Drosophila melanogaster: one gene and its partner. Changing the gene in region 1 together with any one later gene gives a genetic interaction. Each region holds a gene or a part of one and is shown in the gene's direction. Other genes may lie near its edges.

Region 1 (4,887 bases):
GATAGTTGGTCTCAATGAAAGGAAAGGGGAAATCACTACCAAACTCAAACTTCCTAAAGTCATATATTCCGTAACTACAACTTGATGAATGACAAATTGCTTTATTGCCACAATCAAGAAATGTTATCTCTAAAATTCCAAATTAATTAAATAGTAATTTTAAATGTATTGGCCCTTGGAAACTGTTTAAAGAACTATGCGAATTGACTATTACCACATATTAGTTGTTATGTTAAAAGCAATGACTAAATTTTCGCTTAGTTGTGAACATACTCATACAACGTGGGAAGATCGAACAGATGCAGCCTCCTCATCTGCATATTCACGAGTTCCCACAATTATAATTACTTCAAACTCAATGAACGGTCAAGGGAATGTCAAAAATTGATATGTCATCGTCATCTGGTTTAGTAGAGCATCCTCCCCCCATGGAAGTCCAGCTAATGATCGGAATAGCAACACACGCAAGCGAATTCCCATGCAGCACACCTGAGTTCCAATTAACCACCCCCTCCGATTCAGCATCATCCAGGGGTTGACTAGTCCAATTAGAACCCCTGGACATTGCAACCCCTGGCGACTGTTGTTGATATCATGTCAAGCATTTTATTGATCAAGTTACGCATCCGTAATACGAATCGAAATATAATTGCTCTTTTCAAGTGTCTATCGTATATCAAATGAATTGCATTTGCATCTCCGCCCTTCTGCATTCGAGTCCGTTCGAGCAGAGAGCTGTTCCCACGTTCGAGGTCCTGGATCAGGATCACATGGCCTTAGGCGTTGGTGCGTAATCGCACCAGACTTACAGGATCTTGCTTAACATTATTAAGTACTCGCCCGATGCTGGGACCTCGCACAATGTCTTTCTTTTGAATTCGCTGATCCCGAAGACAGAAAAGCTTGATCTAGCAGCCTCCCGACCAGCGTGCCTTTTCCAGGCAGTACCACTCCCGCGATCTAAAATCCGTAATCTGCTTAAGCGGCGAGCTTAAGTCGAGGAATCGGTGGGTCCTTCGGGACTTGGCAGGACCAAGCGAGATTAGAGGCACTGTCCACTTGAATCCTAAAGGCTCTCAAAAGGCAACGCCTAATCTGGCTCAGCCGCGGGAGCTACTATCTCAAATGGCTAGCTCCCATTTTAGTAACATGAACCTTTGATTTTAACAACTCCGTTTTGGGTTTACTTTAAAATAATTTTATTTATTAAGCATTTATAAAAATTATTATTAAAAACGCAATCTGAGCTCCGCAATAATTTTCATAAAGTATTTTTAGATTGAACCTAAAAAGTTGCCAAAGCTGGCTAAGAAATGCAAATATTTGTTTTTTATTTTAATCAGTGCATATATTTTATATAGGAAATACGTTGTATTTGGTTAGCAGAAGTTATTCCAAAATTTAATTTTATGGGGGAATCGAAGAATTTGTTTAGATGCTCAACATTATAATGCACTTTCTTAATTAAAAAATGTTGAGTACATTTTTTAAAAATTACGATACAAAATTCATACTCAGATTTGTGTAAAATTGATAAGCTCAAGAAATCTGTACAATCTGATATCTATCAAAGTCTTTAGATTTATCATTTCCCTAAACATTTATATGGTTGCATCATAAAAACCTAATTACTGAATGGAAAACAATCAATAGTGCGTGGTATTCAACCCCTGCTGCTACTATCGCCACTCGAAAAGGACTCGCCTCGCAGGACTAGAAGCGAACCCACAGGTACTTCACACAAATCACAAAGCGGCAATAATGGCAGCGCCATAAAATACTCGGCCATGGATATGGAAGGATATCTCTTCATTAACAACTGTCGCAGGACGGGCAGAGATTCTCTGCTGCGAGAGAGGGTAGCAGACGGACGAGGAGTTCGCGTGAGAGAGCAGGTAGTGAATCCTGCGGAAAAGGGCCATAAAAACCGAAAGAATTGAGAATGAGAATGAGCGACGGCTGCTGCGTTCCTTGCTCAATGAATTTTTCGCAATGGCAGCCTGCCGCAGGATCGAAGGATTCTCCAGGGGAGAGTGAGAGAGGATATGCGAGAGAGGGCATTAGAAGCAACCCTCTCCCGAGTTTCGACCAATGAACGCGGAGTTTGTCTACCTAAGGGTGATCGACTGCTCGATGAATGGATTTGGTCTGCAGGACTATTAAAACGCCGGCGGTCCTCACAGCAGACAACACAACCCATCGTGATCTCAGCGAGTCCACATCGGAGTAACCAAGGATATATCGAATATATCACACAATCCGCAATACCGCCGTCCACCCAAACCGTTAAAACAAAAATCCAAAACGACTCAAAGATACACCAGTGCCAAGTGAAATTCAATTTGTGCAAGCGTTTCTACAAAAATCGCCAAAATTACGCCCCACATCGGTATGCAGTCGTCGGAGGGTTCACCAGACATGATGGATCAGAAATACAACAGCGTGCGTCTTTCGCCAGCGGCATCGAGTAAGTATAGCAAAAAAAAAAATCAGATAGCAATGAAAAAAGAAGAAAACAATCTTCCTAATATATAAAATTAAGACAATCCTTTACTTATACCAACTTTCCCCCCTTCTTGAATTTCCAGGTCGCATTCTATACCATGTGCCCTGCAAAGTCTGCAGAGATCACAGCTCCGGCAAGCATTACGGCATCTACGCCTGTGATGGCTGCGCCGGATTCTTCAAGAGGAGCATTCGGAGATCCCGGCAGTATGTGTGCAAGTCGCAGAAGCAGGGACTCTGTGTGGTGGACAAGACGCACAGGAACCAATGTAGGGCTTGCCGACTGAGGAAGTGCTTTGAGGTCGGAATGAACAAGGATGCAGTGCAGCACGAGCGGGGACCGCGGAACTCCACTCTGCGTCGCCACATGGCCATGTACAAGGATGCCATGATGGGCGCCGGCGAGATGCCACAAATACCCGCCGAAATTCTGATGAACACGGCTGCCTTGACCGGCTTTCCTGGAGTACCGATGCCCATGCCTGGCCTGCCCCAGAGGGCTGGTCATCATCCTGCTCACATGGCTGCCTTCCAGCCGCCACCATCGGCTGCCGCTGTCTTGGACTTATCCGTGCCACGAGTGCCCCATCACCCGGTGCACCAAGGACACCACGGTTTCTTCTCGCCCACCGCCGCCTACATGAATGCCCTGGCCACTCGGGCCCTGCCCCCCACTCCTCCGCTGATGGCAGCTGAGCACATCAAGGAAACCGCGGCGGAACACCTATTCAAGAACGTCAACTGGATCAAGAGCGTACGGGCCTTCACCGAACTGCCCATGCCGGATCAGCTGCTCCTGCTGGAGGAGTCCTGGAAGGAGTTCTTCATCCTGGCCATGGCCCAGTACCTAATGCCCATGAATTTCGCCCAGCTGCTGTTCGTCTACGAGTCCGAGAATGCCAACCGGGAGATCATGGGCATGGTGACCCGCGAGGTGCACGCCTTCCAGGAGGTGCTGAACCAACTGTGCCATCTGAACATTGACAGCACCGAGTACGAGTGTCTGAGGGCTATTTCGCTCTTCCGTAAGTCACCACCGTCGGCAAGTTCTACCGAGGATTTAGCCAACAGCTCAATCCTGACAGGAAGCGGCAGCCCGAACTCCTCGGCCTCTGCTGAATCCAGGGGTCTTCTGGAGTCGGGAAAAGTGGCGGCCATGCACAACGATGCCCGGAGTGCGCTGCACAACTACATCCAGAGGACCCATCCCTCGCAGCCCATGCGATTCCAGACGCTCTTGGGCGTGGTGCAGCTGATGCACAAGGTCTCAAGCTTCACCATCGAGGAGCTGTTCTTCCGAAAGACCATCGGCGACATCACCATTGTGCGCCTCATCTCCGACATGTACAGTCAGCGCAAGATCTGAAAAGTATGTAGAGCCTAGACTAATCGCCGCACTCGAAGTGCCTTCCAAGTGCTGGGAACTGTGATAATCTCGGAAGAAGCGCTTTGGACAATACTCGATCAGTGAAATCAACGATTTCTCATATCCAGGAGTCGAGCCTTAAAATACGTACACAACACTCACCTTAATACCTTACCTAAACAGAACTCGAAGTAATCTTAGCTAAAGTCTCTCAGACCATCCAGATGTGTTTCAAATTGCATTCGCAAAAGTTTCAACTTTGCCTGTTAAATACGTCAATCGTAGTTTTAAACACTTTAGTTTTAAGCGCATATTATTAGCTTTAGGATTTGGAAAAATAATTATTCAAAATAAACCTAAAGGTTTTCGAAATGAACATTAATGGGTCTTTTTGGGTGGATGCAATATTTTGGAAGAAATGGAACTGACAGTTTCAGAACTTGGATTTGGACTATCGGAAGTTTTAAACTTGAAAAAATATATTTCATTAATTAAATGAAAAAACGTAGTATTCACATTATTTGAAAGGTCTTTTGGTTTTCAAAAGCTATGCTTAGAAAAAATATATCTAAACTAAACAAGAAGTAGGTCCTAGTTATTTGCGCAACTTTTGTAAGCAGCTGAAAGTGTTATGCCAAACATGGAATCATGAGATTACACACGGAATTATCATTCTTTTTATGGCCATTTCGTGAGGCTTTTCGCATCCTTAGAGACGACAAAGCAACCGCACAGGGCAACCCAGTTAATCACAAATGAATTATGCAAATACTGGAACAAAGAAATATTAGATCGCAGAAGAAACCGTGGAAAATTAGCATAGTTTTTCTGCATGAACAGACCAAAGTCGGCATTAATTTGGGAACCTGAGGGACGCAGTGCAATGGCCGCCCCAGTTTTGATATCCTTTCTCTCCCGCCCCGAAATTCGAAAAGTTAAAAAGCAAAAATTCACTTTTGTGACTTTGTCGAGCGGCGTTGGATCGTCGCATTGCTGGCAGGACCGGGAACGGGGTT
Region 2 (7,418 bases), on another chromosome or scaffold:
AGGATACGACTCCCCCCCCCCCACTCGCCACTCGTTTAAGTGTGTGTGTGTGCTTACATGGCTTTTGAATGGAAATGAACAGAGGTGAAAAGGAGCAGAGATAGTGGAAGAGAGATAAGGTGCAAAGATAACTACAGATAGAAAAAATATGTAGTAGTAGTAAGCTTAATATTTTTCACTCCGTTTCTAAATTCTCTTTTGAAAAATGTTCAACAGTTCAAATGTAAACTATTACTGAGACTTTTTCTGTTAGTGTATAAAAGCTGCATAGGCCGTGGTCGTTTTGTTTGTTGAATGTCCAGTTGGTTGTTGTTTGTGCTGCTATTTTCCCCTCGTTGCTGCCTTTTTTCACTGCGTTTATTTATTCAACTAAATGCAGATTGCACATTTCAGTATGTGCCGTTCATTTAGCTTCCAGTTAATCACGCTGTTTTGCCCGCTTTTTGTCAAGGATAATCACCGGATTGTTTTTGCTTCGTCGAACGTATGCTTACTAAAATATTGGAATTATTCACACAATATTGAAGCTTGTTAAATTAGGCAGTAGAAGACACCTATAATAGTATTACGAATTTCCATGAATTTTCATGTTAAAGTAGATTTACCCGTCGGCATCTCAAAGGAATCAAACAAATAGTTTACAAATATTGTACAATAGTTTTTATGGTTGCCACATTCAACCCATCCAATCAACATTACTCCAATGAGGAAACCTAATCAACAAAGAGCTGATATTTGCATATCGATTTCCCCACACAAGAGCCGCACAACAAGCCAGATTAACGGAAAATGCAGTCGAAATGGCGGCCATAGTCCTTGAAGGATCCACTAAAACCCCCACGCTCCCCGTCGGACTCGCCGAAGAGTTGTGCTTTTGTGTGGCCTTGCAGCTGCAATTGCTGAACTGCTCAACTCCAGCAAAAGCAGCCATGTGCCCTGCATTGCCCAAGAAAAGGTCCTGGACCGTGGTCCTGCAAACGGATGGAGTTGGTGGAGCAGGACGACAAGCACTGCCAGAGCAAACAAAGTCAAGAAAGCCGCGCTGGAGATGCCATCAAAATGAATATGGGATTATATTTAACTAGTGCTGGCTGGCGATGCAGGGGGCTTCAAATCAAACAAATGAGAAAGGTGCACCTAGAGAACAGGGAAGCTAAAGAATAATATAAAGTTATCTAACCAATTTTATACAATTTACAATCTTTAAAAATTGGCGATTGATGCTTATCCTGCGACTAACATTCCTACATAGAATAGGGATTACTGATTGGATTACGGGTGAATTATTTTCTCTGTATATAGCAAAAAAAGATGAAGAATTGGAGAGAATCAAAGAATCCTTGCCCGCTGGCGGGCTAAAGGTGAGCAAACAAAGACGCTGATAAAACGAAATGCCAAAACGACAATTGAAACGCCCAACAAAAGGCATGAGCTTTCCAGGAGGGGGATGCGCTGGGAACGGGGAACGGGGAAAGGGGTGGGCCAGTGAAAAAGTCAACTCGAGAGGCATCCACGAGGCCGGTGGCTGCCATTTCTTGGTGTCTGGTGTCGCCCCATCCAAATCAAGTGTGAACGGAATACGGCCAAAGGTGGCCCATCCATCCATCCATCCATCCATCTCTCCGTCCGTCCATCGGTCTCTTTCCAGCAGCCGAGTGCTACGCATAGTGCGCTCCCTCTTTTGCGGAACCTCCTCCATCTCGTCACTCCTCTATGTATCATCTTCCTGGGCTCTTGAGCTCTATCTCTATATAAATATTTTAGGGGCGGTCTCTGCTCACTGCCTCTCTCTTTCGCCGTAATATTCCAATTCGACATTTTGTCTTTTCATTCATAATGCAGTCGCAGTCGACGGCGACGTCGGCGTCAGGACATATCCTCCAATCTGAACGTGATGATTAAGTTCTCCTTTTGCCCGTCGCTCCCATCAATCCATCTCGCTCTGTCGCTCGACCAGGACGTCTGCATCCATCTCTCTCTCTCCCTCGGCATGCATTTCATCTCTCACTCTCGCCAACGGCGGCAGCACGCAGGACTCTCGGGGGTTGTTTCGCCAGGATTCACCCCAGCACTCGCCGTGTGTCCTTTTCATATTTCTTAAGGCCCGCACCGTTCGCTGTTTGCCTTCATTCCGCTTCGGTCGCTGATCCTGTGCTGAACGCGTCCTGTTCCTCGCGTCCCTCGATTTGCATTTAAAAAGCGTATATCCTTATCGACGAAACAAGTGAACTTTAAATAGTAAAGTAAAAGGACCAAGTTCAATTTGTGTGTGCCAACTGTTGTGTTTTGCCTCTAACAAGTGGAGATCGGCCGCCTGCCAAGGGAACTGGATATCCACATAGGCAGTGCCTGAATATGGTTTACTTTGTACGTATTCGATACATAAAAACTTAATTTATTACTCTGTAATTGCAAAACTCCGACGGGAAAAGGAAAAAACTATAAAGTACAAGTTCGCTTTTTCATATTAGAAGCATTTCGAAGCTATTTGCGTGACGTTCGTAAGAAAAGCAGGCATTTACATAGGTCTATGTCCTCTTTAGATAGTATTTCGTCTTGTATCTTTACCATCATTCTTAACACTTATGATTTTGATTAACCCCATCAAAAGCCAGCTTCATCTCATAACTTCTAACATGTGCTAGGGCATAGCCACTTGTTCAACTCAAGACAAAGTTTCCAAGTGCCTGTGTGCTCCGTTGATTGAATATTATTCCACGCACTTGGTTAATAAGCTCGATGTGGTTCGCACTCCCCAAGTGGCGTTCGTAGAGGCAAATTTTGAAGTGGCCACTAGAACACCAACATAATTCGGCTGCTTAAAAGTGGAACTACTCGTTCGTAGTAGTAGTAGTTTGGCACCCGGGAAACTTTGGGATCGAGGGCTGACCGCCGCTGCCTCCGGGTCAGCGTGTGAAATGGTTGCCGCCTCTCGTTTAATGAGATTAAAGCGCACTTTGGAAGGGAAACTGCAAGATGGGCGAACTGCGGACCCAGATGGGAGCTGGGCCTGCTGAGGCGTCAAATCAAGTTAATTAAAAGCGGCAAGGAAGTCGGTAATCGCACCGGATGTCGCACATTAGCCACACTCGAGGGCACATGGGGAAGATGGAGCCGGCGAGGCGGCGAGGCGGCCTTACACCTCCAGTCGAGTGTAAGCGATTTAATGAATCTCACATAAAGCCAAGACCCGCGCCAAAAAATTCGCATACTGCTTACTGGGCCTGTGTTATGATTGATGGCAATATGCTGGCGAAAGGATTGAGGTCTTTGTTTGGGTTAAGTGGAGTGTAAGCCAGGGCAAAGCACGGGTTAAATGCAAATAGCGTGGTATGCAAAATCGATCGGGTAATATTATGGAACGCACTGCGGTTTGCGTTTAATTGCAACCCGCTGGCTGGCCCTGAATTATCCTGCGGAAATGTCCTGCCGCTGGGAGCACGCCCTCCGCTGGCGTTTGTTTGTGCTCCCGAATTGCCAACGCATTAGTTGCACTTGACTGATCAGGCGGTAAATAGTCCGTACAGCTGCGGTCAAAACAATAGGGACCACTTGAAATCCGAGCAACTTGGGAATAGGTGTTGTTATTATATTCATAATTATAAACCGAAATATATGCTTTACATATATGCTTTTGAAGGCAAGAAGTTTTTAGAAAGGTATGGGAACCAGAAATGTTATTTATCCTAGTTATTTCCCCCCAACTGTGGCCACAAACAATGGAGGCGTATGCCTTCGATTAATTGATAACCCGTTGCTTAGTTTGCATACTCAATTTGGCTCTTTGTTCGTTTCTTACAGAGTCCGCGTGGCATGCAACCGTGTAGTCCAGCGGGAGAAATCGCAATGATGCCGCCTTCGAAGAGCCCCGTGATGGAGAGCGCCGCCTCCGAACAGAATCCTGCCCAGCAGAGCCAGCAGCAGGACGAGCAGAGCGCCAAGCGGGCGTGTCCCCTAAAGTTTTCGATAGCCAAGATCATGGAGCCGGATCACAGGCCCAGCCAAGTGCCACCGCCGCAGCCCGCTCCGGTTTCCTTCGCCACCAACGATGACGACGAGGATGAGGATCCGGAGATCGATGCCGACTCGGAGCGCTCCTGCAGCCCCATCGAGGTGATCAGCCTGGATCAGTCGCCATCCACTGTCAACTATGACTCCGCTTTCAAGAAGTATGTGCCGGGTCCGTGTTCGGGCGCCACTTCATCGGTGGCCTCGCCGCCGAGCACCGCTGCTGTGCAGCAGTTTGTGAGCTCCCGCCACCAGGAGCTGCTCTCGCAGTATCCCCTGCTGTACTATGCACCCAATCAGCTGATGTGCGCCGCTGCTGCCGCCCAATATGCAGCCCTTACCGCCCAACAGCAATCGCTGGCCAGCGCCGCCCACCTGAGCAGCTTCACCGCATCCCTGAATGCCAGCTTGCATCACTCGCAGTCGCTGAGAAGAAATCTGGGTCATCCACTGGCCGCGGCAGCTGCCGTGGCGGCAGTGGCCCAATCCCAGGCGGTGCCCAATTTGCAACATACCCTGGAAAAGTCGCCAGTGGCCCAGAGAACAGCCCAGAGTTCGGGATTGCAAGCTAACTTGAAGAGGAAACGATCGCCGCAGGATCAGGGCGAAGTGACGCCGCCTCCAGCGTCTACTGCCACTTCCGCCACTGGAGCCAGATCCCGCTCCCCCTCGCCGCAAGGATCCATCGAGGACAGCAGTCCCGGATCGGCCAGTGGCGGCAAGCCCAAGACCTTCTCCTGCCTGGAATGTGGCAAGGTGTTCAACGCCCACTACAACCTCACCCGCCACATGCCCGTCCACACCGGAGCCAGGCCGTTTGTTTGCAAGGTCTGCGGCAAGGGATTCCGCCAGGCTTCGACTCTCTGCCGGCACAAGATCATCCACACGTCGGAAAAGCCGCACAAGTGCCAGACCTGCGGCAAGGCCTTCAATCGCTCCTCCACCCTCAACACCCACTCGCGCATCCACGCCGGCTACAAGCCCTTCGTGTGCGAGTACTGCGGCAAGGGGTTCCACCAGAAGGGCAACTACAAGAACCACAAGCTGACCCACAGCGGCGAAAAGGCCTACAAGTGCAACATCTGCAACAAGGCCTTCCACCAGGTCTACAACCTCACCTTCCACATGCACACGCACAACGACAAGAAGCCCTACACCTGCCGCGTCTGCGCCAAGGGATTCTGCCGGAACTTCGATCTGAAGAAGCACATGCGGAAGCTGCACGAGATCGGCGGCGATCTGGATGACCTGGACATGCCACCCACCTACGACAGGCGGCGCGAGTACACGCGCAGGGAGCCACTTGCCTCCGGTTACGGCCAGGCATCGGGTCAACTCACGCCGGACTCCAGTTCCGGCAGCATGTCGCCGCCCATCAATGTCACCACACCGCCACTTTCCAGCGGCGAGACGAGTAATCCCGCCTGGCCCAGGTCCGCCGTTTCGCAGTATCCGCCCGGTGGCTTCCATCACCAGCTCGGAGTGGCTCCACCTCACGATTATCCCAGTGGCTCCGCCTTCTTGCAACTCCAGCCGCAGCAGCCACATCCGCAAAGCCAGCAACACCATCAGCAGCAGCAAAGACTCTCGGAGACCTTCATAGCCAAGGTGTTTTGACAGCGATACTATGCGGAAAGCTTGAACAGCTCCACGGGGTCGACCTCGACGACCAGCTCCACGGTGACCACCACCACCACGGCCATATCCTCGATGGCCACCTCCAGGAGCGATCTGCTGATCGACTGACTGCAGTTTGTGGCAGCGGCGGCCGCTGCGAGCAGCTCGAATTCCGGGCAGGATACCGGCGAATCCCCGTCCCCGGAGCTCGGATGCACTGCTCTGGGCAGTGCTGTCCGCGCACTGAACGGTCTCTTCTAGGCAGAAGGACCCCTGTCCACCTCCACCCACCCCGCAGAACCTCAGCAGCCACCAAATGGTTTCAACTTGTGCAATACCCCACTCAGAAGATGATGATGACGATGATGATCCCAACGCTCAGCCCACATCTCCAAGCAGCATTTTGTACATAGCGTATCCCTAAGAAGTCTCACAGAACACTCTACTTAAGCAGCTCTCTCGATGTATAGATGTAGTTAAAGGATTTACCTAGTTAGTCGCCAATACCGAAAGCCCTGAGTTCCGTGTAGACACGCTACACAGATCCTCCAGGACACGTTTCGATATAGAAAAAGGTGTTTTTAACATTGCGTTACAGCTTTTTGGGGTCTGTCAACCGATATACATAGATGGAAATGTATCTTAGAGTTGCACTAGATATCCGTACGTACTCTATCCCTAAGTGTCTGTGTAACCCAACGCAAATTAATGAAATTGAGAAACATTTTAACAAAGATCCATGAATGCATTGTATTTGTTTAGGTCTTAAGTGATATTATTGATACTGTTTAAGCAATAAACCAATTCTTCAATTATTAAACGAAAATGGTGTTTAGATATGCTGGGAAAGCGTATATAATCTTCATATGCACATATGCAAATAACTGAGCAACAGTGTGGGGTGTCATTGAGTCGAGTGGAGGGATCCTAAATAATGCAAATGGATGCGAAATGAAAACAATTATTGCTGCATTACTCGGGCCCAAGAGTCGCGTTTAATGGGCTCTAAACTGTCGCCACGTCTGCCGCATGACATTTGCAACTTAATTAGTGCCGACCAGCCCCCACTTTTTCACCTTCCACTCGGGAAAACTCCGCAGGTGGCCTGGGCCTGCCACACGCCTCAATCATTTGCATAGCACTTTGATCTGTGGCTCGAGAAAAGTCAGGAATACCGGCGTGGAAATGGGTCTGGAGCAGGAAGGTTGAAGTTCTTGAGCCCGCTCATAAAAATGCAACAGAAGCATCCTTATTAGTCAGGCGGCTCAATTAATAAGGCACGGTGGAAGTGTATGAAAAATATATGAACACATATAACCTTAGTAATTACCAAATATATTCAAGTGCTCAATATGAATAACTTTACTTGACAAGTTCAAATATAATATTTATGTTTATTTGGATGACCTCTTGTAGTCCTGATGTCTTTGGTTTGGTGACAGCGTACTATTGTTGGGCTTTAATACGAACGTCAGGAGCGCGATGCATGTGATGTCCACTTGAGTTGACATCTTTACCCTCTTCCTCTGGCCAAATCACATGAATAATTCAGAGCGCATTGAATATCCAATATCCAAATGGGAACGAAAAGCGAAATCGAGCACTGCGATGCGTTGCTTTTTTATGCAAATAATCAAAGACGACTGACGTACAGTGGGCCCTCAGCATATGCTCAAGCACACCGCCCACTGATTCCATTCGCATGACAGTTCCGGAGAGCCAGCCCTTTGGTTGTGCCCAATTTTCGATGATGACTTCTGACACCGCCTCGCGGCATTCTTTTGAACCAAATC

The links. Genes that interact genetically often act in the same process or in processes that back each other up.
Region 2: of tll (region 1) and erm, changing one enhances a phenotype caused by changing the other (phenotypic enhancement), as found in Drosophila melanogaster (one study listed by BioGRID).

The regions. Positions count from the first base shown.
Region 1 is NT_033777.3:30,850,156-30,855,042, forward strand, and holds tll (tailless), read left to right. Parts: upstream 1-2,159; 5' UTR 2,160-2,391; coding exon 2,392-2,467; intron 2,468-2,588; coding exon 2,589-3,871; 3' UTR 3,872-4,245; downstream 4,246-4,887.
Region 2 is NT_033779.5:1,949,263-1,956,680, reverse strand, and holds erm (earmuff), read left to right. Parts: upstream 1-2,127; 5' UTR 2,128-2,355; coding exon 2,356-2,367; intron 2,368-3,801; coding exon 3,802-5,625; coding exon of another isoform or gene 5,626-5,886; 3' UTR 5,887-6,442; downstream 6,443-7,418.